Linked DNA regions of Lepisosteus oculatus. The protein of the gene in region 1 purifies or fractionates together with the protein of each later gene. This does not show direct contact. Links are inferred from orthologs where the notes say so. Each region holds a gene or a part of one and is shown in the gene's direction. Other genes may lie near its edges.

The links.
Region 2: the proteins of stx8 (region 1) and vamp4 purify together in Homo sapiens (co-immunoprecipitation; 3 studies listed by BioGRID and IntAct, counting the BioPlex papers as one, with this or other methods). This does not show direct contact. The link is inferred for Lepisosteus oculatus from reciprocal best matches to the Homo sapiens genes STX8 and VAMP4.

What each region holds. Positions count from the first base shown.
Region 1 is NC_090704.1:44,151,734-44,167,115, reverse strand, and holds the start of stx8 (syntaxin-8), read left to right. Parts: upstream 1-7,331; 5' UTR 7,332-7,448; coding exon 7,449-7,465; intron 7,466-8,595; coding exon 8,596-8,695; intron 8,696-9,569; coding exon 9,570-9,664; intron 9,665-10,130; coding exon 10,131-10,241; intron 10,242-15,382. Other genes in the region: TBC1 domain family member 24-like, read right to left, coding at 23-121, 290-353, 2,952-3,110, 3,612-4,647, 5,159-5,510. UniProt on the Homo sapiens protein: Vesicle trafficking protein that functions in the early secretory pathway, possibly by mediating retrograde transport from cis-Golgi membranes to the ER.
Region 2 is NC_090704.1:31,381,784-31,397,103, reverse strand, and holds the start of vamp4 (vesicle-associated membrane protein 4), read left to right. Parts: upstream 1-9,297; 5' UTR 9,298-9,515; intron 9,516-13,904; 5' UTR 13,905-13,940; coding exon 13,941-14,006; intron 14,007-15,320. Other genes in the region: itpa (inosine triphosphate pyrophosphatase), read left to right, coding at 174-282. UniProt on the Homo sapiens protein: Involved in the pathway that functions to remove an inhibitor (probably synaptotagmin-4) of calcium-triggered exocytosis during the maturation of secretory granules.

The sequences.
Region 1 (15,382 bases):
TTTAGAGTTGTCCTTCACTCACGGTAAAAACGAAGCACTCCCCAGTGCCAAAGAAGCTCAGGCCCTTCCCACCACCTTTGTTTCTTTCGCTCCAGTCGGACGAGAGGAATGCACCGCAGACCTGCGGAGTGAAGAGAGGAGTCCTGACATCACTCAGAGCTCAGAATTTCACTGAGCTTTTTAGTCACAGCACCAGTTGTTGGAAATGCCTGTTTTGACATCATACCTTCATTATTAAACAAAGCATTTTTGTGACTTTCAGTTCTTAAAAAAACAGTTATCTACTCACTTCCTCGTCTTCAGTTTTGAGCAGAAGAACAGTCGGTTCACTGCCTTCAACTTGCGAATAGAACCTGAGGAAAAAACAACAATTTATTTTTAACAAGGATGAAAATGATCACTTTTGTCTCTTCCGTTTAATAAAGCACTGAGTACACACAATGCATGGCAACCTACACAAATTAATTATTAATCCTCATTAATAATCTGTCTGGCCAACGTATGGGTTGTGGGCTTTTATTATCATTCTAATATACGCTTACTATTATGATACTGTAATTACAGTATAAATATGCCAAAGTTCAATGTGAGTAGGAGCAAAGATGAACAATTTTCCAACAAGTTTCATGCAGGCACCCATCTAAGGATGAGTGTCTTTGTTTTAAATTCCAGTTAAAGGCAGTATTACTCAGCACGTTTTTTGGTACTGCCAGCCAGCCACTCTTTTCCATGGAGAGAAAATTCTGCGATATTAAACCACAATGGACTAACGAGAGCAACAAAATTTCAGATCTTATCTGGACATATGCCTTCAACCTGCAAAATTGCCGTCGCGTCAGTGCATTTCGTTTTCAGGTTGCATACCCTTAACCTTAGATAGGTTTGGCAGGTGTTATTCCCTGATGGACTACAGTCACAAGGGGAATTTTGTACCTTAAGTGTGCTAAATGTTCCAGAAACCAGGACTAAACCACTGGCTCCTGAAGGACTTAATCTAAGCTTAATTGCCAGTCTCGCTACAGGCAGTCTAGCTCGTTACAGGAGTTGCCAGCTGAAGTGCCTACCTCATTACCTACCTGTGTATCTTGTCAAGTGAAGCCCTCCTCAATGATCATGCGTATGTCGGCTTTGGGCTGAGAACAGTGAGCTAGTTCTCGCGGAATGCTGCCCTTAGAAAGGTTAAAGGTGTTCGAGGGTCAGAGGGTCAGGCCCTGGTCAGAACCATTCACTGTAGCAGTCAGAGGCACGGCCACATCCTGCTCAGACCACCCAGCTGTGTGGCAAGTGGTTTTGTGCTTGTTTGAGTGAGTGTCTGTACCATGAGGACAGAGACGTCAGCTCATGAAAGAGCTATTAACTTAAGACTTCCCTTCCCTTTCACTTTTTGACGAGAACTCCTTTTGATCAGGGTTATTTAAAAAAAAAGGCATATTAAAGTTCAAAAGTACAATTAGCGGCACATTGTTTTTCCATTTCTCTCTGTCTGCTTTTCTGACATTTAAAGGCAATAGTTTTCATTTTAAAACATGTGCAATTAAATAACAGATTAGTAAAAAGCCCCTCAATGTGTCAGACAAATTTATGGACCAAGACTGCTCATAAAATATGACCAATGTAGAGAATCACACATTCTCATGTCACAGTCATGTGATTTATTCTTGGACTGTCCTGCCCTGGTGATTCATGGCATAGATGTTAGAAAGTTCCTCCATCTTCCCAGGCTTGAGAAAACGCCCCCTTTATGGGCAACAATGCCTGTTTTGTAAATGTCATTTAATTGAGAGCAATGAAGAAGAAATCACTCAAATATCTGTCTTGTACTCTTCCAATTACAGTACCCAGATATCCGAACAATAAAAACAACATTTGCTAACTAAAATATTCAGATTTTCACATTTGTCTTCCTTTCCATATTTTTATTTGGATCCCCAAAGGTTTACGCTCCTTTCTGGGGCTGGCTTTTAAACTTCAGAGATAGTAAGCTGAAAAGCTCATTTCGTACTGGACCGTCTACATCTCATTTCTTCCTTTTTAAGCAGTTTGAAATTATTTCTATACATACAGAATAACATTTATTATTAGCCTGAAAGAAACTGTTTGTTCTTTCATATGAGCATACTTGAGCAAAATGTAGGCAAAGCTTTGGCAGCTCATGAAGTAAAGGTTTGCTCTCTCAAGACGTTTTTAACCTAAACATATTGCTCACAGCTTTTTGTTGGCAAAAGGTAGTTCTTTATAGTGTACTAAAGGACAGTCATGCAGATTTGAGACGAGCGTAACAGCAGCTGTCTTTTGCAAAGCTTATAATCTGCATCTTCATACATTCTCAGCTATTATTTTCCAAATGGTCATGCTTTAAGCAGAAGGATTTATGAGTTAAAGAGTCATTAATATCACAATGGGCCCTTTTCCTATTAAAATTCAAAACATATTTCAAATAGTACAATAACTGTAGTATAACCTTAAAGGCATGGACCACCCATAGAGGAAGCATTGTTTTCAGAAATGGAACTTGCTTCATGTGCATTAAACAATGACAACATTGGCCTATGATTCATGGCTCAGTTTGCTATCCCCAAGCCAGAATACATCAATGTACTTTTATTATTATTTTGTCAAAACTGCTCTGTTCCATGAAATGCTTTATTGCTTTTGCAATGTTTTCGCGAAGGAGTTTAACTTCGATTGAGGGGAAACATTTCCCACAGGGTGCACTCCCTTTTTAAATTAAAAAAGAAAATGAAAATCAGAGAATCTAATCTATTCCTTTAAAATTAGTGATAAAGATACTGGACTGATCTGTATCTATGCATATTTATTTACTGGAGACAGATTGATTTGAAAGATTCCCATACTTTTTAATAAGCCACCATTTTTTAAAGGGTTGTGTTTGAGATTGGAGTTCGTTTATCTGTGAACGCTGTCATCCAGGAAGAGCTGGGACTACTCACGACGTCAGGCTGCGCCCATGCTCACTGGTGGTGAACAGCATGATGGGTTGGAACAGGGCAAAGCGCTCTGGAATCCAGGACCAAACCATCCTCATCTCCTGTCCAGTGACAATACTGGAGCTGAAGTTATCCAGATCCACTGCTAGATGTACGGACATCCTGTGGGGAGAGAGTACCAGCATGTTGGTAAGAGGACTGAATCCAGATCTGAAACAATTTGGAATATGATATTGCACGATCACAGAGCAGAAAAAAAGTGTAACGTGCAGCTCTGCATATTTTGGAATTTAATCTTGGTTCTTCAGAACATCCCAGCCAGCTAAACCAGAGCTCCACTCCCCGGTACCAGGTGAATTACAATCATTTACAGAAAACAGAATTAAAAAAAAACAAAGTCCCAAATTCTCCAGAAAGGAAACTTTACAGAAAAACTCAAGTCTGTTTTTACCCTGTACAGGGTATAGCAGCAAAAGAAAACATACTGAATAATACTATTTGCAAGTCATAAGATGGTCACAACATTTGCTAAAAAGAAATGTACCATTAACATTTCAGGAAAGCGTTCGTATTTTCACCGGACTTGAGACTTAAACTAATTGAACTAATTGAGAAACCCTCAAAACATCTTGAACAAAAATCTTTGTGTTTTCTTGTTCTCACCTCTTCTGATGAATGCTAATGCCCTTCTGCAGGAGGGCGCTCATGTTAGCAGACAAGAGCAGGTTGATTTCTTTGCGTGAAAAGAGGCGGATGCTGAAGGCCTTCTCCAGCAGCTTGTCCACCGTGATATGGCAAGAGATGTTCCCTACAAAGCTCATGATGTCTTGTCTGATATCGGCAATGTGGGAGGGCGTGGAGGGCACAGAACCTTTGTAGAGACTGAGCAGAACCAGAGCAACCCGGTAGAGTACTTTGTAGCCTTCCAGCAGGAACACATCCAAGACCCGGATGGCGTACTCAAATGGAAGCCCGGCACCAAAGATCCACATTATCCAATCTGAGTAGATGTCAAACAGACTCTGGTTGGAGGTGGCGATGAGCTTGTGGGCACCATGGCAGTATTTGTTGGCGAGGTCTCGGAAAGTCATGCAGGAGGCTCTGTGGGCGAGGAACGTCTGGTCTATGTAGCGCTTGTCCGGGTCATTGTAAGCAATGAGTCTGCACACACTGTGGAAGCACTCCGCTTCGTCCTCACTGAAATGCAGAAGCAGAGACACCAGGGCCGGCAGGACTGGGCAGTGTGTGATATCGGGGAAATGTGCCGCGATACAAAGGAGAATCTTCCTGACCGAGTTGACCCCAGTCTTGCTGAGACAGTACATGGGGATTGCGCCATTCTCCATGTATTCTGGGAAAGGGTGAGTGCTTGTTTTCTTCTTCCCAAACAGTTTCTCAGAGAGCTGCTGGTAGATCTCCCTGTCTGGGGTGACAGACCTACAGCTGATGCCATGGATGATGTGGTGGTAGGCCTTGGCTCTCAGAGTGTGGCTTGTGGACCAAAAACCTGCTCTGGCCATGCTCTTCAGTTGCTTGCAGTCACTCTGTAAGATCTTCTGGTAGTTTAGGGCAGATTTAGGCTCCATTTTTTCCCAGTCTACGAATTGCCAGTATTTCATTGTGGAGGATGAACTAACTTCCCAGTTGTCTGATTCCGAAATGGTCAGAATTGGAATGTTTAGCACATTCTTTCCACTTCCTAGGAGAAAACATATGATACAGACACTAAGGGCTGAACACTTTAAGAAACCTTGTTTCTTATTCTGCCTCAGTTCTTAATGTACTATTAATAAAGCTGATGAAATTAAACGATTACCAGTTTAGTTACTCAGGTATAACAAGATATTTGCATTGGTATCTTAATTAGATAAGCTCTTCCTAAAACTCTGAACTAAACATGAATAAGTTCACCAGGTTTCCAAAGACACAAAGCTTCTTTACTTCAGCCATAGATCTAAAATAATATATAATAAAAATAATGTAATAAAACATGATATAATCATATAATAATATTATATACAAATTATATATATAATTTAATATATATAATATAATAACAATAATAATACATTATTTTAGTAAACTTGTTTACTCTTGGACAGCTGAAATATTATATTTTCAATTTCTTTACTTTATTCTTAGATTAGATCCTGGTAATGAATGAAATGAGGAGAAGCACATGTAGTGCGCCACTGTTTTATCAGGCATACCATCTAGGTCTTTCGATGGCGGCTTTTTGCCGCTGGAGTTTGTCCTGGGTCTCCGGAACTGCAGCCAGGACAGCATCCCATCGCCGCTCAGGAGAGACTTAGATCGCGGCCTCATGGCGTTGGACCTGGTCAGGGGTCCATCGCTGGTGCTCTTGGACGTCTCGAAACTGTAAAAGGACCTCGACCGGGGTCTCCTCGCCCCCGGCTCCGTCGGCTCATCTTCCGGAGGGAGCCCCGCGGGGCGGCTCTCCCTGTCCTGGCAGGAGTGTGACCTTGACCTTGCGGAGCTCGACGGGGCTGGGAGCTCCTCGTCTGTTTTTGAAATATTTATCTGCGGGACTGGCCTCTCCATGTCCGTCAAGCTCTACGGTGGAACTGTCAGGACTGCGGGCGGGCTGGGAGCTTCAGCTGTTCCTCTTGACTGTCCTCTGTTGGTGCAACAGTGTTCTCCGGGGCCTCCGTGTTGACAGGTTTTGCTCAAGGTCGGGACCGCGGCTGTGATGTCATCCGGTGGGCTGGGCGGGGAAGGCCGGGTCAGCCTTGGCGTTTCCATGTTCCTCCAGCCGTGCGATGGAAAATTCCCCGAGCCAGAGCCTCCTCTTCTTCCACCACAACCCTGCCTGCAGACCCTGGGCTTCACACGCTGCTGTCAGCCTGGCCTGTCCTGTAGCATGACCTGTGACAGCAAAGACACCTGATCCAAAACAAAGCACAGAATGGTATTGCTTATCTCAGCAAGAACATGATGTGTGTTTACTGATCTTACCCATGGATACACTATACACATGGCTTCTCACAAATTAGCAGTTATATACCCTCATTATCATATTCTGGCTTATTTTGAATGTGATAAGGCACGTGGTATACTGTAAACATGGTACTGAATAAACTATGTCAATATACATATCCAAAACGAAAGTCAATTTTAAATTGTTTTTCTGCTTTACATGAGTAAACGTGAAGTTCAGACACCAGTCCTGTGAAATACATATGATGTTTCAATAATTTTAGGAATTTGCTTTAATAAAATTGTGCAGCAGAACCTTTTTCTGCAATGCGCTAAGGAGGTAAAGGGACCAACAAACAGTTTTCCAAGAACCTGAATGTTCTAGTTTTTTTTTCATGCAGTACATCTTTGCTTATGTTTAAACACGATCCGTTTGTTGTGAAACACTTCTCGTCTTTTACATGGGGGTGTTGTATACGGGCTGTGCGGAAAAATATTAGACTGCTGTCGAAATTGCTGAAATGAAAAGTTAACATGTCTATACTGAAAGATCTGCTTGTGAGAAGCAAAAGACACTACTGATTACATGTTTAAGGACAATTAAACTAGAGCCTTTTGAACAGAATACAAGGAGAACATTTTAAAATCCTTCAGTTACCAAGCAATCAAAGAACTGTATTGCTTTCAGCAAATTCAAGTCATCAGGAAAAGGCTTTTTGCTGCTTGTGTACTTTTACAATTATGGGACATACATGACACCAGTGGATGTATTATGCTAATCAATATCTTTCATCTCCATGGGTCTATGGTAAAAGTCACAGGCTAATATCATGTTTGGGCATTGCCATATCTCTGTCTTAGGCTCTGCGTTCCTCTCAGAGCCTGAATTGCAGGTGCTATTCACTGGTCTCTGAGCCCTCAAGGCCACCTCACTCCAGCTCCAGCCAGACATGTTCAGTGGTGATCAAGCCTGGCGAGTAAGTTATCCATAGTAACACTGCTATGTCCCATCTCACAGGAGAGTGATTACCTCAAGAATCTGTTACATAGATTGTCATGTATAGGTACACAATGGGATTTGTCCTGTTTTTGAAGTGATGAAAAATGACTTGGAAAAAATGCCCCTGAACTATATAAGTTATCTGTCTGCTCAGACAGCTTGCACACTATGTCTTAGTTTGTCCAATCGCAGTTGGACTCTTCAAGACTTTGGGCTATTTTCCTCAAAACCAGCAACACCAAGATTGTAAGAGAAAGAGGCCGGTATCTGTGTGAACTTAAGAGTTCTCTCAAAATATGTTGATGCAACGATACAATAACGTTTGATTACGCGTCATCAAACCCGAAGTTTGATGTGAGAAAGGTGAGAAAATGTTTAATCTCTTTCTCCCTGCACGCTAAAGGGCAGGTTCACGAGTTTAGACAGTATGTCCCTCGTCGTGAGCTGTATATAATCACATGACACAAGTACCTAAACAGGAAGTGGGATTGTTAGCCTTTCGCAAAATAGTTAAGTCAAATTTACTGAATTAAGTAATTCTTGGAGAGTCTTTTGATCAAACGATGTCACAGGATCCTTGGTAAGCTTGTTACAAAATAAATATATGTGTTACATTCTATTTCATCGTGATTTTTTGGCACTACGGGCTACAAATAGGATTATAGGACGAATGTTTATCACAGTTGTTGTTGTTCGTTATATTGCACATTGAAGACTGGTTTGGTGACGATTTTGCACGTTGCTGCATCATGTAATTTAATTTGGTGGTCTTTGTAATTCCCGATTCAAGCGCTACGGAAGTTTTAAAAACGCTGCTCTGGCACGGAACGGGTTAATTTTAGTAGCTTCCCAATTAATTTATAGACTCAGAATATTCCCCTCAAGTGCCTTTAAGCTTTCCCACCTGTTTTAATAAAACACTGTTCTTTATTTCAGTACCGTTCCGACCAGTTCTACATATAACATCCCAGAAGTAACTTGCTGATATTGTTCTCTGTGTCGTGTTTATTTAAGGATGTTTGTAGTGTTTGTGTCATAGCATTTAGCCGTACTGTGGGTGATGTTAAGAGGAGTTCGGAACAGATCTTGAGCATCATTAATAAACCGTGTGCAGCTGTCTCTGTCTTTAAAAAGATTTAGCTATAGCTTGCCTCTGTCGTATTTCTGTGACGTGAGAATAGTGCATTTTCTATGGGTCTTTATTAATATTCACATGGCAGTGGTCAAGTCATGAATTAGAATTCATATTAGTACGAATTCGTGATACAACGGCTTTCCTAAACTGTAACGTGGACAAAGAAATACAGTATTATGAATTGTTATTCTAAAATTAATACTAGCAATTTTAATAGCTTGCTTGAAAATCTTGGCAATTTGTTTTTGTTGCTAACATTAGGTAGTTTTTTTCCCCTAATGTATAAGCAAGCGAGAAACAAAGGCCAGGCCCCATTTCTGATCACTGGTTATGGTTAAATAACTCACTTTCTGAATTTCCATTGCACAGCAGCACAGTGGGCAGGCTGTTCTGCAGTAAATCTAGACTGGGCCGGTGGGCTTTCCTCTCTTTAAACTACTGTTAAACAACCTGCATATAAGGTGCAGCTGCAGGCCAGACGAGAAACAAAGTAACCCAAGCACTTGTGGGTTCATTTCCAACACGGATCCAGTTGTCGTTCCAACACATCCACGTGCAGATTCTTTCTTTTCAAGGCTACAGGTTTATGATGCCACTTGCCGGCTGGCCCAGGAGATTGCTGAAAACATTCACGAGCGGAACCGGCAGCACCGGACCGGGGGAAACCCTGCCAAGGCAAGGCGTTCTCCCTTGTGCTCACCCCAGTTTTTTTTCCACGTGCCTGCATGTGTCGTGATTGTGCTCGCGTTTCGTTTTCTTCACAAATGCAATGAACAGTAGGTGGCGGCAGTACTGTCAGCCTGGCGTCTGATCTTGTAAGATCTTGGCAGCTCGGCAGAGCTGGACCAATTCGGTACTGGGATGCGAGACCACAGAGGAAAGCCAGACTGCTGCTACAGGTGACGTCAGTGGACTAGTTGGTCACGCTTTTCCCTCTGGATCAGAACTTCCAGTTGTCTCTGTTTGGATATTTGTCAGCGGTCCATCTGGGACCGGAAGACCGGTGTCCCGGTGTAGCGGCTGGGGACAGGGTCCTGTAGGAATTCCGTCCTCTGTGTGAGACGTCGGGCCGAGGTCTTGATCGCTCGGTCATTAATGATTCCGTGGCACTTTTTGAGAGGTGAGGTGCAGTAGCCCCAGGGTTCTGGCTGCAGTAATTCCCCTCTGGGCTTGCACAGTCTGCCCCCCCTGAAGTTCCCTCTCACTCACCCCTAATACTTCTCTGCCTGATCTGCTGTACAGTGGGGCTGCTGGTGCAGAATGAGGGCTGTATTCAAGGATGGATGATGTGGGTTCCTTTACATTATACCTTGTACATGATATATGATATCATAATTAATCATCACTAGACTACCTGCTTTAGACAACACTAGTGTTAAAGTAATCCCCGATAACAGGCCAATCTTAGGAAGTGATTGGGAAGGAAAATGATTTTAAGCATGTTCTTATCAGTAATTGAATTATTCCTTGTTCTTCTCTAAAGATTTAAAATGTGTTTGTGTTCTGGACGCGGGAGTGACAGGAATGTGGGCTCCTCTTGTTTCTCCAGCTCAACATGACTATCAGAGCGTCTCTGCAGAGGCTAAAGCAACAGATCGCCCATCTGCGAGAGAGGCTGCTCACGTCCACCTCCACCCGTCGCATGTATCCTTTCCCTTCCCTCGCCCCCTGGAGGGTTCTGTGTTCTGCTCCCTCGTTTGTGTTTTTCCCCCTCCAGCCCAGAAGAGGTCAGTGTTTTTCAAGGAATGGGGGGAAAGGTTTGATTTTCTGTCTCTGTGCTGGAGACCCCCTTTTCAGGTTCAGACCAGTCGGTTCTGTGTGCATCACCTATTCCTCTCCGTGGGTGGAGAGAGGTGTGTCCTGCACAGGTGGGGCAGCAGAGACAAGACAGGTGCACACATCTGTAATTGATTTTCAGAGAGATGTAGTTGAGATAAATTGATAGCTTGTTAGCCGGCATCAAAACCTCACTCATCACTAATGTTGAATGTATTTTATTTTATAATGCACCTTGCATGGTACATCAACAAGGAGGGCTCTGCTTCTGTTCATTGTGTCTCTTAAGCCTCGTTGAATCATTAAGTCAGACCTTAATAATGTGAACCTCCAGAATGCAGTCAGAAGGAGACAGAAGACAGAACCTCTTGGATGATCTTCTTACTCGGGAAGAACAGCTAGACGCCTCTTTTAAGAAGGATGGCACAGAGCCCGACTCCTCAAGGTACTTTGAAAAATTTAAGATTGTGACTTCACCGTGTCACGGAAAAGTGACGTTGTGTGACTGACTTCAAACATGATTGTTTTTTTTTACCATTGTTAGTAAAATGCAAGAAAACATGAACGTAAACAGTCAAGAAGGTGAATTGTAATTGCAGTTGCAAATTCTTATGTTTGTGATGCTGAAGTTAAACAAAAAAACATAAAAAGTTGTGAAATAATTAATGCAAAGAACACAAACTTTAAATTGTGTTACCAGCTAGCTTTAAATCACTACATCTAAGGTGTAATTTGAAAAATTAATGTCTTATTAGGGACATACAACCACAAGGTCATAAAACACACTAAGGCCACTCTTTTTGTGAAAAACCCTTTGTTTTTTTCACAATTTGTACTGAATTGTACTTTGCTGTATTTTCCTTGCGGAAAGAGTTATGAAAATCTAATATTGTATTCACAGTGTATGCGTAAATGCTTTAAGAGCTGGAAAGGTGATATTCTGGTTTACTGGTATTTGTGGTCGAAGGCAGAGGAACAGTATCAGTTGTCTTCAGTAATATGGTTAAAAAAAAAACACTATGAAACTGAGTACTTGGAGAAAAAGACAAACTCATCCAGTCTGATATGGCCTGACCTTTTCTCCTGATATGAAGCAGTGTTAAGAGAAATTTCATTCATTAAAAATCCTGCTCCAGTGATCACATGCTTGGCACATCCTGGACAAGAACCTCGGGGCTATTTAATGAAAAAAACTTAGTTTATAGTTTACACTGTTCACTGAGCGCACATCCTTTATGAAGTGGATAAAATATAGTAAAGAGCTCTATGCTGTCAGCTGTATCCTGAGTGCACATTATTCTTCGTCTAAGTGACAGCTTTGTACAGTAGCTAGAACCAGGCCATCATTATATTATATTTTGTCTGACGTGCTGACCTGGGTCACATGGCTTTAGAAACAAAGGGAAGTGGGGTTGGATAACAGTGATTTGGACTTCCTCTCGTGTTTGTTTGAATGAAAGCCTAACCTCTGAATTTCACAGGATCAGGCTCCTTGAATGACTTAACTAGGGCAGTAAGTTTTTTTTGGTCTGCACTGCTTGAACTTGTATGTGGAAGCAACTGGTCAGATGCTATTGAATGACCTATAAGTGGTACAAAAACATTTTGATGACAAAGACTGTTGAACAGCAGGTGGCCGTGTGTATTAAAACAAACCACTTCAAACTAATATTGGATACCTTACATTTTTCTTAGTATTTTTAATTTCTCTTACAGTGCTAAAGGCAACGTAAATTCTTAACCTAAGCAGATCCAAAACATATTCAGCCTTTTCCGGCTGAAGTTAATGCTAATTTATTAATTAGGTGGCACTGTGCATGTGGCTTAACGATTTTAATTCTGTCTGGTAGAACATTATTTTAAATGGGGTGAAATTATACTCCTCAGTGTGTGGTCTTTGTCTAGGGGTGTTAGGCCTGCTTGAATAATCTAAAGTGTCCCCCCCCACCCACTGTTTTCAAGGGAAGGTTCTGAAAGATCCACCAGTGAAACACTACATTCTTGGGAGATTAGCCTTTAACTAAGCAAAGAGAGACATGGCGCCTAAATTTCAAGGCCTGTAACCAGCGCCGCCCAGCCCCCACCACCCCCAGCTTTCTCTTTTATATTTGATCATAATGCAAAAACTAGTAATTAGTTACATCTGCCCCTTTAAATCAGAAACTATCTGTTCGCGTCACCGTTGTGTGACGGTGCGCAGATGCGCCTGATTAACTTGGCGGACTCAGTGGGTGGCTAATTGGATAAAGTTTAATCTTCACACCACTAACATGGCAAGATCAGAGGAAGGAGGAAGTAAGGAGCTGTCCCGCGGTAAGATAGTTACCAAATATGTCAGAAAGATTAGCGCTGGCTGGAGGCCTCTCACCATGTCTTTCTGTTGATTAATAGAGGCCTGTTGCTGGAGAGAGACAGTGCTGCAAATTGCCTCAAATTGCCTGGACTATTGCTTAGTCTGCAAGAGGAAAAAAAGTGAATTCATTAGAGGTTACAGACCCCGATTAGTACGACTCTACAATAGTGTTGCTTAAAACAAAATGAGGAAGCCTTTAATTTGAATCAGTCTGTCAAATCAGCTCTTAATCGGCATATGATTGTGGAACATCTTTTTAATGAGTCGGAGTAATGTTTGAAGTGTGTTATTGTTTTGCATTTCAGATCTTCCTGGGAAACTTAAATGCCTAAAGCACCTTTCCCACACCCTCTACAGCAAATGAGAATCAATGGTTATCAGTTTTGATTGCAGGTTTAGGTTGTTTAATGGGCTGATTAAGGTATAATATGTAAAGTAGAACATTTATGGCAAATTGTTTTTAGAAAGCAAAGTTTCCTGAATTCAAAATACAATAACCGTAAAGAATTCAAGAATTCCAAAACAAACAACTAATAATCATTTCAATTCCCCCCAAATAAATATTTTTCATATTTAACTATGGAAAATTTTACGTTTTGAGCAGATTATGTTGTAGAACAATAGAAGCAGAACTAGTAACAGAAGCATCAGAATTCCTGAAGAACAGCAGCAAAATGAGTCGAAATTTCAACACTGTGTTGACGGTACATGGGTGATAGTCAAGTGTTCACAACTTTGTACTAATTTAAGTTGTGATTGTCGTGATATTTGTTGGTGTTTGTTACACCTGCTTAGAACATGTGCATGGAATGTTAATGTAATGTTGAGGAAATACTGACCAAGGCTTATATATCCAATATAATGGTGTGACTTTGTGCATGGATGGTCTTTCTTCATCTGTCATGAGCAGTAGATGTGCATATGCTTATTCTTCAGTTTGTTGCCTTTTTCTGTCGATTGCTATCGATCAGCTGAACAGCCCAGTGTGATGAGTTACATGGGTCTTAATCTTAAATGTACTGTGGCCCTATCCACAGTAAATCCACAGTAAACTTAAGATCACACAGTAGAATACACGGAATATTCTACTGTAGCTTCTGCCTCTGTGCTTGTTATGCCTCTCAGACTTGAGATGTAATTGCTGGAATGCATGCATTTTTTATTTTTAATGTGGTTGATGTTGGAGGATTGGGGGATGAAGAATACTTTTTACATGAAAGAATGTGCCCTGGGCCCACCCGTGCCAATAAGAAAGTGCTTTTTTGAGGAAGAAGAAATGCCTTGGGTTAAAAGTTTGATCAAAAACAGATCCTTAAAATGACTCTTAATGCTAATGTTGGTACTGTGGATGATGGCATAGTTTAGCCTCTCTGATACGGGGCAGCCTAAGCACTGCTTTGTTGCCTTCCCTGGGCTGATGGAACATCAGTTCTTGTTTCTGAGAGTAAAGAAGGAAATGCACTGGCCCTGAAAACAGCCCCTTGTTGAAAGACAAGGGTTTTCATGATCACTGTCCATCCTTAACAATTAAGTGAACAATAAAAGCCCTTTGAAAAGTCAGTACAATATACTAACCCCCTTGTGCCTACAATACTTGGAAAAATATTCCTGTTTCTCTTTGACCAGTAGGTGGAGCACACATACAGTCTTAGTTCTTCCTGAATGATTTCAGATAGATACTTAGGTCCTTCGGCAAGACAGCTTTAAGGTTTGGATGCAGCTTTTCTTGATTAGCATAAGAATAGCAGAAAACCACATTACATTCTTAATATAACACAACAGGCCTTTCTTTAGTCTGCATTTCTGTCAGTTTTAAGTTCTTCCGAAACCACGAGGCCTGATGCTAATTTAACAGCACTGTTTACAAAATCCTTTAGATTTTTTTTTAATTCAGGCAAAAATGCAGAAGTTCGGAAATGTTTCCTTCGAAAGGAAAATTTTCTCTTAAAAAGACTAAATTATAATTAATACTACATCTGAAAAAAATAAAATTGAATGATTAGAGATTAGAGAGAAAGTTGTTTGGATAAAAGTGGTAACTTTTGAGATTGCAGAACGTGAATTTTTCACCAGACTTCAGCAGCCATATCACCCTTCAGTTCACCACTGGCAGCCCACTGAAGCTCAGCAGGTTTGAACCTGGTCAGTACCTGGATGGAGACCTCCTGGGAAAAACGTGCTACTGGAAGAGGTGTTAGTGGGACCATCAGGGGGTGCTCACCCTGTGGTCTATGTAGGTCCTAATGCTCCAGTATAGTGACTGGGACACCATACTGTAAAAAGGTCCTGATTATGGTCATTAAAAATCCCAGGGCATTTCTTGAACAAAGTAAGGTGTACCCTGGTGTTCTGGCCAGGTTTACCCCTGGCCTTTACCAGTCATGGCCTCCTAATAATCCTCATCTATAAATTGGCTTCATCACTCTGTTCTCCTCCCCACTAATAGCTGATGTGTGGTGAGCGTTCTGGCGCAATATGCCTGCCATTGCATCATCCAGGTGGATGCTGCACATTGGTGGTAGAGGGGATCCCCATTACCTGTAAAGCGCTTTGAATGGAGTGTCCAGAAACGCGCTATATGTGTAAGCAATTATTAATTATTATTATTATTATTATAAAGTGTCACCAGCATTGAAAAAATCCCCCATCAACATTGGTCTTGTAATGGTAATGCAATGCATGAAGCAGAATGTCACTCTATAATATTCCTTACATTTATAAAGTGTTTTTTTTATCCCAAAAGATCCCAAAATGCATTACATATACTGTAGGAATGAAGCCACTTCATGCACCACTAGTGATTCTATGAATTCAGCTGAGGTCACAGATTTTAGATGTTGTGTTGCTTCAGTTATCAGATGGGCAGACCTCAGTTTATTGATAATCGTAGAATGAAGGAAGTTTTTTGTATTTTGCCAGCCAGAATCCCATGTGACGAATGCTGTATTTAAGACAGACCACAAAGAAGCAAAAAGGCAAGAGTGAGCAAGCAGTCTTGACCACCTGGAATCTTTGCTGATGAGCTGAAACCTATTGGGTTACTGAAGGAACGTAGCTTAAATTTAGGGTAAATGAGGCATATTTTCATGGTTGAGAAAATATTTGTTTTTTCTTTTAAACCTGCCAGGCAAAGTTTGTCATTTGTATTTGTGCTTGGATGTATTTTTGGATTGGTACCAAAGGTTGTCTCAGCATCAGTTTAAAGTGTGTCCCTACCTGGTGGAGAATTGCTT
Region 2 (15,320 bases), about 13 Mb from region 1:
TGACTTCTCATGCTGTGGAAATCAGAACCTTTACAGTACCTCGGAATTGTGATTCCTCTAGTGCTTCTCTAATTATCTTACTCTTCTCCTCTCCTTCCCTCACACCATTCCAAATCTCTTCTCTCCCCTTCTACCTTTTGCAATCCCTTACCCCCTCTGCCTTCCTCTCCCAGCTATGCGGAGTTGCCAAAGGAAGTGAAGAACTCCATCTCTCACCGATACCGTGCTCTGGCTGCCATGTCTGAACACTTCTCTCAACTTGGGAGCACAGAGAACAGCTAGGACATGGCCATGCAGGCCCCCACATCACCAGGACATGGGGCGACGAGATGCACCGAGGCTTAAGAGCTTCTGGCTATAGCCAATCACAAGCTCTTGCCACCACCATCCAAGACGATGCCTGTCTTATCAACAATGTATTGTGTGAATCTGAAGATAAGGTGTCACAGCATGGACGTGTCACGTTCAGCACCCTGATGCTAACATTTTCTGAAAAAAGTATGTTTGCCATTTCTCAGTCAAAATGAGTTATTTTCTCTTAAAGTGCTATGCATATCACTGACATGGCGACAGAGCACCTTATCAGAGTCATGGTGGTAATTATGTAGGCAGTTGAGAGAAAATGTCTTTTATTGGAGTTCATGAATAGCCATAAAAGCTGGCACATTACCAGCTACCCTGTCCTGGTTCCCTCACTTGGAACATGGGGAAATGGCCACCTGTCTGTAGGCTAAGTGATTTCTAGTACTGTTTAGCAGCTGGGCCAACACACAGTCCACTTCCCCTCTCCCTCAGTGTCTGGACCTGTAATAAACAGCCTGATTTTACACAGTCTCAGAGGTTGCTTGTTTGCACCAGACACACAATGATGCACTACCCACAAAAAGAAAGGTCAAGAACAATCTAAACGAACTCCCACTTGCACAGACTAGTGTCACACAAATGCACCCTTGTGTTATTGCCCAGTGAAAGAGACATATCTAAAGTTAAATGTAACTTAATGAATTGTTCACAATGCAACCGGAGCATGGTGGAAGGACAGCACTGAAAGTTAATTTCTTTATCACTCCCCTCTTCCACCTTCCTCTTTCTGGTGCCATCTCTCAATGCTACACATGGATCAGCTGTGTGAGAGTGTGGGAGCCGCGCAGCGCTGATTCACTCCGCCAGCGCACAGCCCTGGGATTTATCATCCCTCTGAGCTGAGTAGCATTTCACACACTGCTAGTCGCCTGTCTCCAGCCTGCCATCTTAAATACAGCATGATCACCCTACTGGGGGGAGTCTGGAGACTAGAAGCTAGTACAGATCATGAAGTGTTTTCTTGTTACGAATGGGCTAGACCGCATTCGTGTTCAATATTGTTCAACAGATGTGATGATTGGGTGAGCTATACCTTTCATTAGAGACATGAGCACAAAGGCAGACTGCTCACAGTCACATCATGTGTCATAGTGAGCAGATCTCGAGGTGTTTAACAAAGCCGTGCTCCTGGGGGGCAGAGTAGAAGGACATTAAACTGCTATAGGCTTTATCGATCACTAGTTAGCAATTATTGTGTTAAATATAACAAAGTTGATTCAATGGTGCTTTGCTGGCATGCTTATTTCGCATTCACTACCAAAGCACATACACAAGTTGTACCAGAAAAACATCTGAAAAGTATATCAAACTATTGACACATTAGAGAAATCTTTAAAAGTCAGACAGACAACTGCATAAAGACAGCGGTCCTTCAACTTGCCAGTGTCTCCCCTGCCCCATGGCAGCCCCTCAGTAGAGGGCGCCACTCTATGATGGATAGATCCTCCCTGTACTGGACTGTACTGTTCCTATTAATCCTGTCTCTTTCTCTCCCTGCTCCAGGCTTTGGAGAGGAGCACAGGGGCTCCAGCCTGCTTGAATGTTTTCATTCAAGTGAAAACAACCCGGAGTATGACTCTTGAGTTATGCTAGGCATTTATAAGGATCTGCAAAGTGTGGCATTAAAGCCACATCAAACCGCCCCCCACCAACCCCGGGAGAAGTGAAAGTTTACAGGGAGGGTGGGCAGGCAGGGCCGTGGGGCGCAGTAAAACCTCCCCGATCGTTAAAACCCCAGGATAACGAGGGGAAAGCTTATAAACCGAGCTTCAGACAGTCGGCGCAGTCTATCTTCATACCAGACTGCCTGTATTATTTTTTATTATTAAAAACAACTGCATTCTTCACTGCATTTTTTAATATTGCATAAGTGTTTCAATCCGGTCGTTTTATTAGTTTTGTGAAATCATGCTGGCCATTGGGATGTGGAAATGGAGTTTCATGGTCTCAGTATTGAAAAAGGAACAGGGTGTCTCGGTGTCAGTATTACAGAAAGGAATGTCTCAGTGCCAGTTTTAAACACAAAAACAGTCTTTCTGTGCAACCAGAAGCCGAGATGTCCAGACTCTTGAGGAAGTGCTCTACGTTTGTGGGCAGAGCGCTCATACTGCTTACATTAAGAGTGTGTTGAGGTTAGCTGTTAGCATATCTTCTGATCCCCCACATGTTCTGCATGAACAATAGCCACTGGCCTTCAACCCAATATTTTAGAGTCCCTCAATGTAGATGTAACAGAATGAGGAATTCCTTTATCCCACACTCAGTCCAACTGTGCAATCAATGAGTTCACAATTAAGGAGTGATGGTTTATGGGCAAGAGCAATGAGTGGTTATGTGTGTGCAGTTATAAGGGCTCAGGGCAATTGTGGGGGAGTAAACTTACAGGTTCTGGTGATTAATGCGGATTCCTGTGGGAGAGGACTATGTAATGGATGATGTCTTTTATGTAATATTTGTACTGCTCGTATGTTTTTTGTAAGTCTCTCTGTGTGTATAAAACATAGTTGCATGGATGCAAAACAAATGTATAAGAAATCATAAAATATATAATCATATCTTAAAGGAAGAATTAAAGAATGGGTTATCTCAGTGACAGTATTAAAAATTGAGGTCTCTCTTCATCAGTATTACAGAATGGGGTGTCTCATTGTCAGTGTTAAAGAACAGAGTATCTCAGTGTCAATATAAAAGAATGGTGTGCCTAGATATCAGAATTAAAGAACAGGTGTGTCAGTGTTAAAGATCGGTGTCAGTAGTAAAGATCAGGGTGTCTCTTTATCAGTATTAAAGATCGGAGTGTGCCATTGTCAATATTGCACCATTGGAACCTCTGTGTATTAAAAAACGCACCTGAAGTATCTCTAGGTCAGTGTTAAGAACTAAGGAAAATGTGCTTTAATCACTGGAAACCAGCATAAACGTTTCTAGGCAGGTTTCCTAAGCTCAGCCCAATTCCACACACTGCTTCCTCAGGGTGTGCAGAGCTCACAGGGGGAACTAGGTTCGACTTCACTCACTCCACTGTCACTGCATAGCTGGCATTACATGTGCTGAATCCTTTTAAACAGGCCAGCAGTAATTTAGAGCAGGTTTTTGATTAGCCCCAAAGGCTGTTTAATGCAGCTTGTCTACATAAACACCTGACCTGCAAGTTGTCTGTGTGTGCAGGGGGCAGGCTGTGGTCTGTGTGTGTTTCGTTGTGCTGTACAGGAGGTGAGTAGGTTCTGGTGTTTCTTCCTGTGAGTCAGTTAGATGAGTACCTTCTGGAAGCATTTTATTTAAACATGTTTGGCTCGGGCATCCACCACATTCATCCTGATGGTTCTCAGGAGACACTTGCATCCAAACTGAGCCAAAACAATTGGAGACGTCGGTATTTGGGATGGATGGCACAGTGGGTAGCATTGCTGCCTCACAGTGCTGGAGCCCTGGGTTCAGTTCCTGACCTGGGGTGCTGTCTGTGTGGAGTTTGTATGGTCTTCCTGTGTTTTTTGTAGGTTTCCTCTCACAGTCCAAAGACCTGCTGGTAAGGTAATTGGCATCTGGTCTTGGTGTGAATGTGTATGTGTGTCTGCCCTGCACTGGGAGTATCTCTCCAGGGTGCGTCCTGTTTTGCGCCCGTTGCTTGCTGGCTCCCCAGCATCCCTGCATCGGAAATATTTAGGAAATGGATGATAGATGGATGAAATTGGGGGTACAGGAAGGTGGGAGTGATGGGATGTACTCTGTCTCCCTCTCAGAAGCACCATACTCAAGATGCAAACCCCCAGGAACATTGGGGTGAAAAAGGTGTAGTACCCCCCAGAAGACAAGCTGGTGCCCTGTGGTAGACTGTACTGTACACTGTACTGCCCTCTTCTAGAGAAAATGGGTTAGTGCATTTCTTCTGTTCACTGTGTGAAGTTCACAGTGCTGCAGATCACTTACAGTACATACGGATCGTGGCACATTCAACATAAAGAAACAGAGACCCTTCTCTGCACTGAGTCTGCAACTAGGGTAGCTCCCTAATTACTGCCAAGTCTCCCCAGGCCTGTGATCCTTTAGCACAGTCCTGGAGTCCTGCAGGTTTGACAGGTACTTTTAAATTGCGACTGATTCAGACTCAGTACATTAGTTCAATTCAGTAATTAAGTAATTAAGCCTGCAGGGACTGGAGCTGCCCATCTCTCTCTTGAAAAATTGCTTCAAGTGATATTTGGCTGATTGATCAATTATTAGCCAGAAGTGCCAAGGCAGGCTTGAACCTCCTGTCTATAACCTTTCCTCTCTATTCTTATGTCAAAACAGACTGGTCAAGATTAATTTCCAGCCTCGGGATTCTGGCAAATTTTTGCTTCCTGACTTGATGTTATCTGCAGAAATAATATAAATAAAAAAGCTGGCTGTAGGTCTATTAATGCTCTCTTTTAGAGAAGGTCAGTGAGATTAACAAAGATGGAGTTACCTTTGGGTCACTTTGGATAATCAGTCACGCGGACAGAGATGCTTGGTGATACAACAAAGGGTCTTATGAGGAGGGATTTTAGTATATATATAATCTGAAAACGGAACTAAATGTGTGGCAAAAGATTCATTTAAATTATTTATTAGAAATGATAAAGGTCCACTTATTTATAAACCAGAATTGATATATTCTTTGTTAGAACAAACTTCACTGCACACACATGCTAAAAGTAATGTTTCCATGCTCTTCCAACTTCCTACGGGAGTCCGCTGTCTGAAAAATTGTATCTTTACTTTATAACTTACACTGAAGACGTACAGGGGCTGTGATTAATTGATGGCATTGTCACAAAACGGTACTCTGAATTTGTTAGTATAAAATGTATTGGTTAAAAAACAAGTTAATTTTTTATTTTCAGTGCACAACTTCAGGATGGAAGTGTTGTCTATTTCCTATTCAGCTCTTGTCAATTCCAGAAGCTGCAATGAATTATGGGAAGGCCATAGGTCATGTTGCAGGTTGCCTGCTGGGAACTCTACTGTGCAGGAACAAAACTTCGCATTTGCATTTTTGTGTTCATGTAAATCCAGCTTAACACAAAAACTGAATGAGCCCTTAATAAGTACATAAAATTATCTGCACCCCACCACATTCATCAAGAATCCTCAAAAAAGGGGGAGAAGGAGTGGAGATTGGAGGAGTTGTGATAAATAAACTTCTATCCCAAAGAAATGCCCCCAGGGCCTGGAAAAAGGGAGACCATCTGGGACATATCAGTCACAGTATTCCTGGACTCGCACGGTTTGTTATTAAAAACAGGTGACTGCTCTTCTGTGTTTGGAAAGAAGCGAGGAGAGCTGCCTATTCCAGGCCTCCCTCCTACCTCCCAGCTCGGAAAGGATCAGGAAGTCTGCTCCACTCATCAGAGCGCGGCTCTGGAGTTTATTTCCGACGTCTCGCAGGGAGACGTTCCAGCGCTGAGGTCTGGAAGACGCCTGTCAGAGCTAGCGGAGGAGGGGGTAGTTTATACACACTCTGAACACTAGCGCAGTTGTAGCTTGTTTAGTTTTGTTTGGAACATCAAACAGTAACTCCCACCCTTCTTCTAACGGCTTCAGCCTCTTCAGGGTTGTGTTGGAGCCAGAGCCTGGCCTGGCAAGGTGCACACACACTTTAGGACCAATTTTCCCAGAAGCCAATTAACCTTCCAGTATGGCTTTGGACTGCGGGAGGAAACCCACACAAACACAGGGAGAACATAAACTCCATGCAGGCTGCACCCCAGGCCTGGAATCAAACCCAGGGCCCCTGGGTTTGTGAAGCAGCAATGCTACTATCAAGCCATCCAAAACAATAACAATGCAACCAAATTTGTCCAGAGAGCCCCAACATCTCTTTGTCTAATGGAATGGATGAGTATTTTTTCCTTAAGCTTTAGAGAGAGGAGATCCAAAGCTGTATCTGTCATCTGTGAATGCTCATCTGGCTGGTGGATCCCCTCAGGAGGGCTCTGGACCCTGTCCTTGTGAGGATGAAAGGGTAACTAAAGGCTCTTAGCTTTGGGAGAGATGATGACAACCAAGTCCTTCATCCCAGCTGTGCTAAATCATCATTCCCAACCTCTCTTCTCAAAGCTTTATTTCTAGATCTCTATCATACCCAAATCCCTCTTCCCCTTCTCCAGCTATTTCCACCTGTGCTGCTGCCCCTGCATGGAGGTGCCAGCCTCCTCATCCCACAGCCTGGGGGCCAGACCTCACCCGAGCGGGTAGAGCCAGATTTCAGCCCGTCCATCAGACATCTTCTGAAGAAGATGAACTTCAAAATATCCAAAACAAGGGACTATGGAAGGAACAATAACTGAGACGTGGCTGTGATGGACCCTCAAAAAAAGTAACTAAGAACAAGGTGAAGCCATGAGTTTAAAGACACTTTTCTAAACAGATGAGCACGGTGCCTGACACCCAGGGCAGCACTGTCCCTCCCTGCTCCAGGAGGAGCTGAAGCCTGTCCACGTCAGCACTGTCCTCCTGCTCCCAGTAGACATTTTGGGCCTTTTCCATCAGGGGACAGCAGGCAGTCGGCTGGGCTGAAACAGGATCTCTTCGAGATGCAATTTAACATCAAAATTCCTCTCACTGGTTGACATGAATCACCACTAAAACTAACAGATCTTTAAGTGGGAAACACCTTCCTGTCTTTCATCGTTTACGGTGTAGCATGCTTTAGTAAACCAAACCTCCCAACTTTAGGACCAAGTCATTTCAATTTGCCACCGTTATTGTGAGAGGAGCAAGATGAAAGGTGTGCTGAAACTGTCCACTTTCATATCCGAGAGCATTTTAAATTACACAATTAAATATTTTCGGCCTGGTTCCTTAATTTGTTTTCTTGTTGACATTACCACATCCCATTTCACTACTTCCTGTTGCATCATCAACTTCTTGTTGATTTCCGTTTTCATTCTTTCACTGCTTTGTTTTCTCTGCAAGTCTGCTGTGAGTCTCTTGGCCAGGTCTCAAATGTAAATGGACATTTGTTCTCAGCTGAGTTCTGACGGCTACAGGAAGGTTTATTTTTCCTCTGCTTCATTTGTACAGTGCCCATGAACAGATTAATCCATCAAATCCATATTAAGAGGGAATCCATACAGTACGTCTTGTACCTTAGGAAGAAAGAAAAGGGGGAAATTTTAGGGTATTAGAAATGCCTTTGGTGTTGAGCTCTCACGAATGGACTACATCTGCCACACAGATTGCAGGGAATAGGCAATACTGAGTCACAGCACAGGGGCCACAGAATGGTTAGTATTGTGAAGAGGGTCAATCGACACACACAATCACAAAGGCGCTCTGTTCATAAGAGAGCAGCAGTGACAGCTGTTGAACCCCTGAGGATCTGTACTGACACCCACCCACCACTCTCCCTTTTGACATGCCTTCCCACGCACGTCTGGACTGGACAGCTGTGGGGAGGTGACACCGGCCCCAGTCGACACCCTGTGGCTCTCGTCCCATCCCGTGCGACATCGGGCCATGCGGGAACATCACCATCGATTGCTGCGGTCTCCCTGTTTGATGTGGTGAGGCTGCACTGCTGGCCTGGAAGCGGTCTGCCGGATAATGAAATCAAGACTGTTTTGAGCAAAGCCCACACAGTGGCAGCGTGGGACAAACAATCTGGCCTTCATTTCATAAACCCACTGCAAGGAGCATTCCTTCGTATCATTATTGTTTTTATTTTTCCATGACCTCCCCATCCATACCACGTTCTAAATCCACAAACACAAGTCAGACAGGTTGTTAATATCGCATCTGAGGCCCGGCAGGAAGCTGGGAAGCTATCCACAGACCTTCACCCAACTTCCTTACGGACAAGAGAATTCCGCAGGGCGCCAGCTGTTGGACTCCATTCAGCCAAACCCCCTGGAGATGAAACTGCGGAGACGTGCAAGAAGTTCACGGCTGTGTTTTGCCACGGCTCAGAATTCGCTCCAGTATTTCTAACTCCAGTTATGTTTAATGGACTGCGTACTGGTACGCACCGTGTACATACAGACTCACAGATACGATTTCCATGTCTTGACCATCTCTCGTTACATCTGAACCTTTAAACCATGGTGGTGGTCAAGTTACTACAATTTCACGTGATTTACTGCTGATGGAACAATATGTACCCGGTCAATCGTTATAACACCAATAATGATCATATTCTAGCAAGAAGAAAAAAAAAAGCACACAATGAGAGGAGCAGAATTAAATTGCCTCCCTCAATGTAATTGAAGTATTTTGAATAAAGTATTTTGAATTGAAGAATTGCAATAAGGATTTGGAATACAGTGGAAAAGCATAGGGGCGGACGCCGAAAATAAAATCCATTCTAAAGAAGAATGTTTTGAGTCTTGAATTTAAGTCTCGAGTTTAATTAAAATGTCACATCGGCTCTTATACACGCACTGCGAGGATGATGTTACATGACAAATCAGATTTGGATGTGACTGCACTGGGACCGGATGGTGGGTCATTATGGGTGCAGTTGTGACTCGGCCCATACAACTGTTCGGCTCCATAAGAAAATGGGACTCTTTTTTATCATATTAATCAAAAAATTAAAAAAGGCTGTCGAAAACCACTTATTTACACTTCAAAGATTTCTCTCCTCTGCAGTGGGCCGTCATCACAGATCGTTACGGAAGAGTAAAGCTTTATAAAAGCCTTCACTCTTTAGTAGACTGTGCAGTTTGGGGCGTTTGGAAACAAATGCCAACGATGCTCAGGTCCACACAATCTGATCCCGCTACTTCCGCTTTCTCCTCCGTCAGTACCCATAGCAACAGGAAATCTTCCAGTACGTGACACCCCGTCAGCGAAGATCTTTAGTCTTTTTGCGTAACACTTTACGCTCCCCACAGCGCTGCGGACTGGCGTAGTTCCCCGTGCTTGGTTGGTGAATACAGAATCTGCGAAAGGCAGTTGTTTAGCTTCCCGGTCAGCTGTGAGTGAACAGGAAGAGTGTTTCCCAGTTGAATTACGGATACAGCAGCTGCAGGCCGGCAAGGCTGGAAGTCACAGTTATTCGGTCAGATCTTTTTCAGAGGCTGTTCAATGATGAAAGAAGAGTGACAGTTGTTTTCTGAATAATCGAGAGTTTAAACTCCGGGGACTGCGAGTGGACCAGGCCGATAGACACGTCAGACACAACGCAGGTATAAAGATCTTTGTCCCCTGGCCTGTCATCGCCGAGTTCAGTTCAGATTTTGAGTTCAAACTGAAACAGTGGCGACTGCTGGTTTGTGCCTCTCTGCATCTGGCGTCTGCCCTTGGTTCTTCCTCACAATTGAGGAACATTTATCATTGCATTCTGATGTAAAAGTCGAACAGATTGGTCATTTACTCGTCTTTAGTCCAACGTGTGTGCAGGTGTTAATTTCTGACACATCCATCGATCGCAGGCTGGTTTTCCTGAACAGAAGTGCCTCCTGTCCTCAGAACTAAAATTAGTTGCTCTTAATTTCCGTTGAGACTCCCTGGTTCTGGTCTCCGTGCGAAGTGTGACGTGGAAGATTTAATGTCTTCAAGATTTGACTCCTTCCTGTCCAATTTTTAGAATTTTAAACGTGCTACTATAATCTCCTGTAGGGTGTATTTCTCCAGCATGAGCAGGTTAAATTCTTTCACTCGGTCATCACACAACAGTGGTCTCAATTCGAAGTTCTTGTCGTTATAAAGCAGTCCGCACTCATTGACTAGGGATCAACTAATTAAAATGGTTAATTACTGCAGTTAAGTGATTGAGAGGTCAGTTTGAAGACTCGTGGGGTTTTGGCCTTTCAGTTGGGATGGGAAGGTTGATGTGCTATTATTCCTTTTTGAGCAGGATAGTGAAAGAAGTCAGTAAAGTCATTGGTGCACAACAGCTACTGCTGCCAGACATCTGTACCACACCAGTACTTCAGAAGACCAGTATAATCACTGACTCATGACCTGCCTTTGCAGAGTGAATATGAGCGTGTACGTCAGGATATGGATTTAGACTACCCAGATTTAGGTGCAGTAGAACTAATTTACCCATTATTCCCAAAGCTATTAACCTGCTTTGTTTGGACAACCGATATTGTACATTTTACTTTATTTTTTATCATGCTTAGATTTGATCATATTTTGTGTCTTGTGCAACTGTCTCATCAAGTTTCAGTTTTCTGTCTAAATGGAAAAGTTTATTTAAGATGCTAACTTGTTTTTCTCATCTTATGCAAGTATGTTTCTTATTTGTTAAGGGGATCATGTTGTGTTACATCTGCAACTGTATGTGTTGTGTTATGTGTTTTACTTCAAGTAGGTAGCCTGCGTAGGCTGCAGAGGAACAGGTAAAAGTTTAGGTTTAGGTTTAGGAGAAGCAAAAAGACACAGCGTTTTAGCTGTGGATCCTGAAGAAGAAGCCTATTTTCTTTTCAGCATGGACTGAAACTTTACCTGTTCCAATGTATTTTACTTGCCTGGAAAGCACATTTCCCATCTGGGACAGTTACGGAAGTGAGTAAGCCATGTCTTGCCAGCACTGCGCTGCTGATATCTTCAGGTGTCTGATATCTGGAGTTATGGTTGGAGCCCAGCAATCTTGGAAAGCGCTGATCTGCTTGGAACCACTGACGGAATTGGCCACCGCTGCTGCAATGACTCTTGATTGCTCCACAACGTAGACTAATCATCAGGAGAAAAAGTGAGGTGTTGTTACTTGGGTAGGGTCTATCAAGAGTGAGCTGCCATTGTGTCGTTGCTGTGGGAGTTTTCCCTTTGCCCTTGACTGGCACATCGCACCACCATGAGATTACTGCGCCATCATTAAATTGAGCATAATTGGACCCATTTCCACTTAATTATTTCAGTCTGGGGTGGCTAAAGCCTGTCACTGTGTCTTCTGGTTTTCATTACACCCTGATTTCCTAACTATGTAATGGGATCAATTCTTTGCTTGATCAGAATTCGTGCTTTTCCCAGTCCTTTTGTCCCGGTGGTGATGTAAAGGAACCTGTAACCCGGGCAGGGCAGGTACTCTCCAGGACCAGGGTAAGCTTGCTCTGATTTTTAAGGCCTCCATCACGCCTGTAATTCAGGAGGTGGAGACTCCTGTCGTGCGCAGGAAGGGTTGGGACAGTGTGGGCAGTCATGTGGCTACACTTGTGAAGACGCCTCTGGAGGTTGTGTCATTGCAGCCCTGTCTTTTCTGTGTAGATATCAGTAGTGTTGAGTAATCACTGTCAGCATGTCTGGGCATCGGTGCACCCAGTGAGAACGCCTGCAAACAACCAAAACCCTCTTTAAGACTGCTGTGTGTTTCATTTATGTGTTGAATTGGGGGAAATTATCCAGTTCTCCCCTTGGGTTAACTATGTTTTGGAGGGTTAATTAGTCAAGGTTCATGGTATTCTCTGCTATTGATTAAACGTCATCTCTAAAGTCTGTATGATTGGGACTTTATAGGAAGGGGTATTTACAGTATAAATATTTTATAGGCTTACTCTAACCCTTGGGCAAGGTGCATCTCTTGCAGTAAACCACCACCATCAATTATAATTATTTTAACACTGTAACAAACAGCAATTTATTTTCGCAGTAAGTGAACCTGAGATACCTGTCTACTAGTTATACTTGCTGCTGTGTTGAATATGAGTGTTTTATTTTCCTGATTTTACAAGCATGTAAACCACACGACCATGCATCACATTTGTCACCTGTGTAAGTTGTTTTGAATAAAATGTATTTCTTGATCCTTATCTCTCTTTTTTCCATCCATCACACTCTCTCTGTTTTCTGTCCTCTCCAGTTCATCCTGCAGCCCCAGTTGAGCTCTGTCCCATTTTCTGTATCCCTTCTCTCTGCATTCTCTCTCTCGTTGTGTTCCTTGTTTACTGGAAAACTCAGGGCTGCTTCTGGCCTCTCAGGGTTTCCTGGGAAAACAGTTTTCCAAAAAACCTGCCAGGAAAGCTGGAAACAAAATAGAATTCCAATTTTAATCATAAATCATTAGAATTTGACATATTTTTGGTTGTGACAACCCTATTGATAAATGGTACCTCTCCACTGTCAACACAGTGTGGGTTAGTGGTTAGACCTAAGGTTCTGGGAGAGAGGTGGTGAGTCAGTGTGAGCTTCAGGCTGAGCTGGAACTAAGAGGCTGCTGGAGGAGGCAGTGTGGGCTTGAGGCTGGAGCTAAGAGGCTGGTGGAGGAGGCAGTGTGGACTTGAGGCTGGAGCTAAGAGGCTGGTGGAGGAGGCAGTGTGGGCTTGAGGCTGGAGCTAAGAGGCTGGTGGAGGGAGGCAGTGTGGGCTTGAGGCTGGAGCTAAGAGGCTGGTGGAGGGAGGAAGTGTGGGCTTGAGGCTGGAGCTAAGAGGCTGGTGGAGGGAGACAGTGTGGGCTTGAGGCTGGAGCTAAGAGCCTGCTGGAGGGAGGCAGTGTGGACTTGAGGCTGGAGCTAAGAGGCTGGTGGAGGAGGCAGTGTGGGCTTGAGGCTGGAGCTAAGAGGCTGGTGGAGGGAGACAGTGTGGGCTTGAGGCTGGAGCTAAGAGGCTGGTGGAGGGAGGCAGTGTGGGCTTGAGGCTGGAGCTAAGAGGCTGGTGGAGGGAGGCAGTGTGGGCTTGAGGCTGGAGCTAAGAGGCTGGTGGAGGGAGGCAGTGTGGGCTTGAGGCTGGAGCTAAGAGGCTGGTGTAGGAGGCAGTGTGGACTTGAGGCTGGAACTAAGAGGCTGGTGGAGGAGGCAGTGTGGGCTTGAGGCTGGAGCTAAGAGGCTGGTGGAGGAGGCAGTGTGGGCTTGAGACTGGAGCTAAGAGGCCGGTGGAGGGAGACAGTGTGGACTTGAGGCTGGAGCTAAGAGGCTGGTGGAGGGAGGCAGTGTGGGCTTGAGGCTGGAGCTAAGAGGCTGGTGGAGGGAGGCAGTGTGGGCTTGAGGCTGGAGCTAAGAGGCTACTGGAGGGAGGCAGTGTGGGCTTGAGGCTGGAGCTAAGAGGCTGGTGGAGGGAGGCAGTGTGGGCTTGAGGCTGGAGCTAAGAGGCTACTGGAGGGAGGCAGTGTGGGCTTGAGGCTGGAGCTAAGAGGCTGGTGGAGGAGGCAGTGTGGGCTTGAGGCTGGAGCTAAGAGGCTGGTGGAGGGAGACAGTGTGGGCTTGAGGCTGGAGCTAAGAGACTGCTGGAGGAGGCAGTGTGGGCTTGAGGCTGGAGCTAAGAGGCTGCTGGAGGAGGCAGTGTGGACTTGAGGCTGGAGCTAAGAGGCTGGTGGAGGAGGCAGTGTGGGCTTGAGGCTGGAGCTAAGAGGCTGGTGGAGGGAGACAGTGTGGACTTGAGGCTGGAGCTAAGAGGCTGGTGGAGGGAGACAGTGTGGGCTTGAGGCTGGAGCTAAGAGGCTGGTGGAGGGAGGCAGTGTGGGCTTGAGACTGGAGCTAAGAGGCTGGTGGAGGGAGGCAGTGTGGGCTTGGGGATTGAACTGAGAAACTGTGGGAAAATATTAATAACATTAGAAAAAGGGTAAGAGTTGGCTCTGTGCTGTGAGTGTTGGCTGTGTCCAGGTCTAACTGGGGCTGCGCTGCCCGTGTCTGCCTGCAGGGGGAACTGGAGGGACAGGAGCTGCACGGAGACGCCATGCCGCCCAAGTTCAAACGCCACCTCAACGACGATGACGTCACGGGATCAGTGCGCAGCGAGAGGGTGAGAGAGGGCGACGGAGGGAAAGAGAGGCTCTGCACACACCTTACATATTATTTAGTGCTGAGGATCCCTGTCCTGGTCCTTGGGTTTCAAGGCCCTCACTCGCCTGCTGGTGAAAATGGGTTTAATTTGAGCTCTTTTGGTTCCTAAACTGTTTTTTCCGTAACAGTTGCCTTTCACGAGTTGCATTTCAAAATTGGCTTAAAATCACCAGTTTTTGTGAAAGGGAAAAAAAGTTTGAAAAGCAACTTATTTGCTCAGCTGTTAAACTTAACAGCTGAACTGCAATGAACCTAGGAGGTATGTGGGTCACCAGGACTATGAACCCCTAATTTAGTGCACCTTTTGTTCATAATATAGCTTAATCTAGACAGCAACAACCTGAGTCATTAATCCCACGCAGAACAGGCACCAGCCTTTTTAGATATAATCAAATTGATATTTTTATGGATATTAATGTGGAGTGCTGACAGCATGAAATACAGCATATTGTTTACATTGCATTTGAGAACTGTATTTAATTACAGCTAGTGGGTGAAATGTCCCAGCTGAAGTTACTGTCTGATCTCAAGACATCTGTCTTGTGAAGGTGTAGTCTTGGTGTATCAGTAACGTGACTTCATAAATTGTGATAAAATCTTTCACAGATGGTGTAACTTTCTAAGTTACATTTATTTTAATTTTCCACATGAATGCTCCACATGAGTTGTGTTATTTACGAACATGGGTTCACAAGGGAAGCCACGAGGTAAAAAAAACAGGCAAGATTTGGACAAATAAGGAGAAATGGCTAATATATTAAATAAATATTTCACTTGGGTGTTGATCAGTGAATAGATTGCAATAAGCAATGCCACAGTTCTGTGCTAGATCGTATTAGCATTGAAGGGGCAGTAGTGTTAACAGGTTTCAGGAACACTTGATATAAACCTCAAAGGCATGTTGGTATTCTGCCAGTTACAGGAAATGAGATGTTATTCATAGGCTGTTACCAAACCTCCACCCGCTGGGGTAGTGCCCACCGACTGAAAACATGTTTATTGTAGCACCCATCCAGAAGAAGAGTCAAAAATTGAAACCCAGGCGTAGACATGAAAGTCTTATTTCTACTACGTGAGGAGATGTAAATGATAAATAGACCTGAGCCCTTGGATCACCTGTCTGGCACCAGGCTGTTTTAGATTTCCTCATCAGAGGATAGCCTGATTGAGATCTTGTTAATGGAGACGGTACGCAGTACAGAAGAGGGGCGCATGTGCCCATTGGGCTGATGTGGGGCTGGCAGAGCTGGGAGATATGGGGAAGATGAGGCCT